Linked DNA regions of Oryzias latipes. The protein of the gene in region 1 binds, or shares a complex with, the protein of each later gene. Links are inferred from orthologs where the notes say so. Each region holds a gene or a part of one and is shown in the gene's direction. Other genes may lie near its edges.

Region 1 (3,067 bases):
TTGAGTCATCTATTGAAGCTCTGTTAATTAATTAATCAATTACAGTTGACTTTAAAAGAAAAATAATTCACTGTAGCAAAGGTTTACCTTTAATTTAGCTTTTGAGCAACTATTATTTCTTTTATTAAAAAATAAAACAGAAAGTGTCCTGTGATTGGATTAGAATAGTGATGGGAAATGTTTGTGATGGAGAGTTTCTGATTTGTCAGAGTTGAGTTTTGTGGACTTCGGATTTGTGGGATAGGTGGAAAATCTAAAAAAAAAAAAAAAAACTAAACCCAAAAGGTTTTCCTTTTCTGTTGCATTTTTCAGGTGTTTTACTCTGATCCCCTTATGTAGAAACATTCCCAGTGGTCTTTTCTTTATGATTATGGCGTTTTTAGCCGAAATAAAACAACTTTTTTAATCACATTCACCTCTGAGTTGTGAGCAGGGATGGTTGGCACAGACTAACCCCTCCCCACTGTTGCTGTGAAGTCTGTTTACATGCTCTCCAGCTAGCTTACAGCCCCTCACACCCACAACCCAACATTAACAGTGCAACAAAAGTGGAGCAATGGAGGAGCTGTCCAGCCAGATTCCAGCTCAGACAGGGGAAAACAAAGACGTTCATGTTTCTATTGGTCTGACAGTGGATGATCAGAATGGAGCGGAGCAGGAAGACTGTGTCTCGCTGATTGTAGTTTGTACAGAACAACTGATAGCTTTTTCAAGCAGCGTTTATTCATCTGCTCCTGAATCACAAATGATCAGAAATGCAACTTTGAGCTGAATTTTCTTTATGTATGTCCACATTCGTGAGAAAAATGCTGCTGTGAGCATGTTAAAAACACACCCAAAAAATGCATTTTCATTGGAGTAGGTCTTTCAATCACCTCATATATGCGTCAACGGTGATTTTTTTTTTTTCTCAGATAATGGGGGGGGGGGGGGTGTTAAATATTCAAATGCGTCAGGATTAAAAAAGATTTGATCAAAGTATAACTTTTATTTTCATTAGAATGTACGGTTCTGCTTTAACAACGGCATCCACATCTGATCCCTGCTGGACGCTTTCACACACAGAGGAACACATTCAGCTTGGGATCCATGTTCATGCGAACAATTGTAGGTTTCTTCATATTGAACTCTGGCAGTGGTCATGTGACTCTGGATCTGTTGTCGTCCCCCCCCCCCCTCCCACAGACTGGAGGCACTGAGGAAGTTTACAAGGAACAAAAGAGGCAGCAGGAGTTGGAGAACAACTATCGGTTTGTGTGGGGAGAGAATCGGGAGGAATCTCAGTCCTCCAGCACATCATCGGACTCTGACGATATGGACGTATGAGCTCACGCCGTCACCGCCGCTCTTCTGCCGGTCCAGTCATCAGGAGCCCGACGGGGAGAACGTGAAGGTGTCATCACAAATGGGGAGAATCCTCCTGGTTGCTGCTGAATCGAGCCAATGATGACACTTTGCACATTCAGGAAGAGCGTGTGTGTCTTAAGACTGCAATAACCTGATGCCTTCAACAGGCGTCGTTCATGTGTTGCACAGTGTCTGCTGTTCTAGTGCAGTTAAATAAAGCTGTTATTTTCCCTTTCATGGGATTCTGTTTTCATAAATGAGGAAAATAGCAGGCTGATGCATCGTTAGACATTTTCTTGCTTCCCGTTCAGAGGTCGCCAACATGTTTGCCACAGCTGTCTGCAGTTTTGCCATCGATGATCTTTACTGTACAAGTGAGGGACTCAGAAGAGGAGTTGGACTCAATAGAGCATGTGAGGTTGCACAGGAAGCTCCACTTAAATCTATTTTGCTATTTATATGATTTTTTTTTTTTCCTTTTACCTAAAACAGCAGTGGAGCAGAACATTATAAACTAGTTGATTGACATTCCAGCTCTTGACGATTTTGGTTAAAAGTTTAAATTCACTTCAGACATGCTTTTATTTGTGCACAAGATGAAAAGATTCAGGGAAAATGAAAGTCTTTTTTTGTTCCAATAAAAAAACGCTGGAAGGCCTATTTAAGTCTGTTTTGAACATGAACATTTAATTGATTTAGCACAGAAAAACAAACCTGCAATGCTCATAAAACCCTTCAAACATGAACGTAAAGGGCTGATTTTGTACACGGCCACCTGGACTTCTGTATTTACATGAGTTTTAGCTCAGTATGTTCCTGAATCTTGTTTGTTTTTTATGTTTGCACTGCTTACATGATAATGAAGCTGTTTGAGTAAACGTGCTTACAATTTCTGCCTCTGTCCTTCATGGAAAACGCATTGACAGTAACTATGTTTACTATTTCATTTAGATTTAGCTCTTTATTATACAATGCACATGTAAAAACAGTGAGTTCTTTTTAAGCACAGCTAATTCTATTTTGATTATTTTTGTCATCCCAAACTGCAAAGAACATTACGCCATGGTAAAGACTACTGCATTAGTTGTCTGTAGTAAGATTCAGTGTTGGAACTCGGCTGTTCCAGCAAACAGCTGGGTTGTTCCAGCGACGATCTAGGAAGAAGGAAGGACGAGTGCAAACATAAAGACTTTACTGGAAACCACACAGGTTTCATAAACTTAAAAATACACTTTACTTCTTATCTGTTCTTGTTTGTCTTATAAATATGATCTAGAAACAATAAATTAGAGGTTATACTCAGTCAGATGACATCAGCAACAAATTCTGCTATTGAACCCCAGCTTTTATTAAAATTGGAGTAGCACCAGAATCACAGGCGAATCACCACTTAAACTGTGTTATTTAGTTATTTATTTTAAACATAAAAACAATAGATAAATCATATACACTCGCCGACAAAAATAGTCAATCGATTTCATTTTATGAATGAAAAGAAGAAAAAAAGACTCAATTTAACAGAACTTAAGGAAAAAAAACATTTTAAAAAGGAGATGGGCAGAAGCTGAAGCTAAATAAATTTCTCTAGCTAAAATCCTTTTTAAACTTGTCACTAAGGACGTGAGAAACATCTGAAAACGTATCTCTGGTGCAGCAGACATCTCAGTTAGTTTGCAGATGAAAACAATGCTGGTTTGGTCTCAGCTGTTAAGAACCTCTC
Region 2 (4,274 bases), on another chromosome or scaffold:
AAACTTGATTATTTTCTCTTTATGCCAACAATTTTACTTATACAGGAATATAAAGAATTGCAAACTTAATAACTTAATAATAAACATAACTAAGTTTACTAAATTTGGTAAAACTTTTATATAATTAATAATCAAAATTACACAGTCAATTGTTTGAACTTAGAAAGGAAAGCATTTTGAATCCGTTTATGTTACAAAAGTGATATAAAATAATAATAATAATGAAACGAAGCAGAAACAATATAGAAGTTTTTGCAGTCAGGTGGCCTATGTATTTCAATGCGGCCAGTCTTTTACTATAGGCTGGGCATGTCTTTTTGGCTTTAAACTCGTCTTTTGAGGGCTTTTTGGGGGTTTTGTCGTCATTTTTGCGACTACAATTTTAACGTTTGTGTGATGGTGTTGTGCGTGTGTGTGTGTATTTTTGTTGCGTTACACAATTGTCGTGTCGTTGTGTGCTTTGGGCGACTTTTGGCCTTGTTTTTTGGCGTTTTGACGCGATTTTTGACGTTTTGGACCTTTTTGAGTGTTCGACCCTCGTAGCAGTTACAATATGGTCCTTGCACTCTGTGAGTGCTGCGGGCCATAATAAAGGTATATTAAGTAATGAACCTATGATAATAGATGTTCACCATCGAAAAAGATGAATAAAAAATTCATAGTATATCTCATTGAGAAAGTAAGAGTTCAACATTTTAAATGAAAATTAGTTAAAGTGGGGGGAACAACATATTTAAATAAATTAGTCAAATATACAGTAAATGTGCTTGGTTACGGTATTTTAATTACTTATATATTTATTTATTTATTTATTGACGGATGCTCACTTCAACACGTGAATTTTTTTAAACAAACCTTGTTGAAAGCAACGGTCCATTACACAGCAGTGCCAGACAACAACAGGAAAGGAACAAACCAGGGAGTTATTAATACATTTTACACAAAGACATTCAAACTGACGCACAGATCGAATGTTTTAATGGCTTTCTTATTGTCAGAGTTTCTTATTGTGTTCACGTATTGTTTGAACTCATTGAAAAAGATAGAAAAATGAAGGGTATGATTTGTAACTTTGAATTTATGAAGGTTCCATTTGCATAAAAACAAAAGGAGATTAATGATGTATAATTGTTCTTTATTATGAGATGGAGAGTGGGTGAGGCCAAACATAACATGTTCTGAGTATAGGCGGAAGTCTGAGTCTATGTGGGCGGAAATGAAATGTCAAACTTTAGACCAGAGTTTTGTGGAAAAGGGACATGACCAAAATAAATGTGCAGCAACTTCAGGTTGTTCTTGACAAAAAGAGCAGCTTACATCAATATCTTTGAAACTTTGCAGATAAGATGTTGTGAATTGACCAATGACAATAAAGCTGACAAACCCCGCCTCATTTGCGAACTCCATGACATCACTTCCTGTTTACGTTCCGTAACTGACGTCACACTAATACCGACCAGAGAAGAGTGTTTGGAAAGCGAAAGCTCAAATAACTTCACTGAAAACTTCAACCGCGCTCCCGTACGGACCGGAACCGAATTTCCTGCCTGTCAGCTGTGGGCTGAACCTCCGGGAAGGACAGGGAAAGCTCAGTTCACAGTATTATAGCCGCGTTTTCGCTCAGAAGACATTAGCTAGGCGAAGATCTCCTGCTGCTGCTGTGCTAGCTCCTGAGGACCTAGCTGCAGGAATTTTAGTTTTTTTTTTGAAAAGCCAACATGGAGAACAAATACAACCTGAAGAGCCCCGGTAAGTGTTGGTCCTTTGAACAATGTTCGGCACAAACTGACCTGTTTCCTCCACATTGAATTTGAAACCGAGCAGACGTCCACGATCTATGAGAACATAACCGTTAACGCTGGCAGAGTGAGTCAAACGAGCTTTTTACAGACAGACAGTTTGGTACGAGCATTGATGTAGAAAATCTAAACTTTGTTATTTTTTACGTCATAAACGTTTTATTGTTTTCCTGCTGGCGGACTCAACTTGTCTGATTGATGGTTAATGTTTACAAAATGTAGAAAATAGCACACATCCATTTCCTGACAAATGTGAGGCTTTTTAAAATGTCTTTTATTTTTGGCTTTTCATCTGTTTCCTCAGCTTCTGCACATTCAGTCATGTGCTCCTCTGGATCACTAAAAGAAATGATTAAGGAGAGTTCTCTAACCTAATTTACTGATTAGCTTTAAACAAACAAAAAGGAAATTATAATAATAATAATTTTAGGATAAACATGTCTGGATTTGAATAAACAAATGTGACAATGACACAACTGCACGTCTGTTCCACAAACCATACTGATAATTGACTTTAATATATTATTTCACTATTATAAATCCATGTTATTGATTATAGTTACAGCTGATTAAATGAATTTAGATGAAGTAACTCATGTGTTCATTGAAGCTGACGGTAGAAATGTGAAGGTGAGATCAGTTGTTTCACCTCAGCAGCTCTAATCAAATGTCCTTGCTCCTGTGGGAGTTGATGTTTCCATCTGGCCTTCAGGCAACGAGCGGGACGACAAACACTGGCAGTACGTGGCGTTTGTTCAGTGTCTCTGGAAATCCCTTTCGGTTGCACTCAGGAAGCCCTGATAGTGTCTGGTTGCAGCTGTGTGTTAAGGCCTACATGGTGCTGGTTTCACAGCTTCTGCATCAGGATAGGGAAACTCACATAATTAAAATAGTACACCAAGAATAATTGTAAAGCAGATGAAGAAATATTGTTCCCAGGGTGTTATTAGTTACCTAAGGAAACTAAGGTGAACTATTCCCCAAAGTTCAATTGACTTTTTTAAGGAAATTATGTTGAATACTCTACGAATAAATGTACTTAATTTTTTGTCCATTAACAAATTTTAGCATTAATTCAATGCTTTATTGGAAAAATGAAATATGAACCCAATTCCCATTTCTGGTCTTTTATATACTAAAGGGCTTTATATATGTTGTGAAGGCTCAGCCCATTATTGATGACATCACAGGAAGTGATGTGGAGTTTCTTTCTTCTTCTATGGTTTTCTGGGTTTTTGTTTTTACGTGTGCTCTGGAGCAGCTCAGCAGAGACAGACTCTAGTTGCCCTACAACCCTGTCTTGCATCTTCAGTTCATTCCAGTTGCTGTATTTTTCAATTTTGAGTAACTGAGAAAACGTAAGAGTTTAAATCATTACTCATTTTATTCATGCAGTTATTTCCTCGGCCACGTTTTCTATGAGGTTTTCAGATTTAATTATATTTTACATATTATAAGGAGTTAATTTTTGACCCACTGAGTCAGTTTTCCTTGTTTTATGTAATTTACTTTATCTACAGCAGGCCAGTTTGTGTTATTTATGTAGTGGTGAGAGGAGTCTTTTGTTGTTTGCAGAGGGACTTGGATAAATCAGCAATAGAATAAATTCAGAGCATCTGCCAAGTGGAGTCACATCTCCATGTGTCCTGACCGACACCCCATCTTGTTTATGTTTAAACTCCTACCGCGAATCAGTGATACAATCCTCCATCCTCACAGTCCTCCATAACAATATAATTATGAAAACATTTATTAAAAAATGGCATTTCTTCATTTGTTTTCAGTGTTCCCTTCTCTATTGCGGGGGATATGTTCCATAAATTACCTGCGATTGGTGAAATCTACGAAGTAGGATTACAGATGTTTTAAGGCTTTAAAACTCCTCACGATACACTTTCTACACTTTTCTTAGACACACATGAACATTCTCACACTTTTCTCTATTGTTTGATTTCAAACCTTCATTAAAAACCAACTCTAGTATTATAGAATAAAAACAAAGATCTAATCCCGATGGAAGATTTTTGTAAATTTGGCACAGTGAAGGCATTCTGTATAGAAAAAAAAATGAAGATAATTGATTGACAAGGGCAACAACCAATCAGGATGTAAGTATGCAAAATTGTACAGAAATTTCTTTGCTTGTACACAAGTTGAACCGCAATATAATAAGGGAACACTATTTTTCTTCTCTCCCTCCATCCAACCCTCTACTCACTCATTACAACAATCGTATTGTCCTCTTTGTCTACATCCATGAACTTCTTTGGTCTTCCTCTTTCCTGCTACATCTAACAGCATTTCAGCATCCTTTTTCCAACATCATCACTGTTTCTCCTCTAAAAGTGTCCAAACCATCTCCATCTGCTTCCCTGCATTTATCATCTATCATGATCTGTTCCTCTGATGGATTCATTCCTGATCCATTCTGGTATCTCCCAAAGAGAACCGCAACATCTTCACCTCTGCTACTTC

Evidence for each region.
Region 2: os9 (region 1) and ube2j1 share a complex: the UniProt entries of both Homo sapiens proteins name them as parts of the HRD1 complex. The link is inferred for Oryzias latipes from reciprocal best matches to the Homo sapiens genes OS9 and UBE2J1.

Annotation. Positions count from the first base shown.
Region 1 is NC_019863.2:4,136,779-4,139,845, forward strand, and holds the end of os9 (protein OS-9), read left to right. Parts: intron 1-1,185; coding exon 1,186-1,326; 3' UTR 1,327-2,240; downstream 2,241-3,067. UniProt on the Homo sapiens protein: Lectin component of the HRD1 complex, which functions in endoplasmic reticulum (ER) quality control and ER-associated degradation (ERAD).
Region 2 is NC_019882.2:20,253,779-20,258,052, forward strand, and holds the start of ube2j1 (ubiquitin-conjugating enzyme E2 J1), read left to right. Parts: upstream 1-1,419; 5' UTR 1,420-1,718; coding exon 1,719-1,749; intron 1,750-4,274. UniProt on the Homo sapiens protein: Catalyzes the covalent attachment of ubiquitin to other proteins. Functions in the selective degradation of misfolded membrane proteins from the endoplasmic reticulum (ERAD) and is essential for cells to recover from ER stress.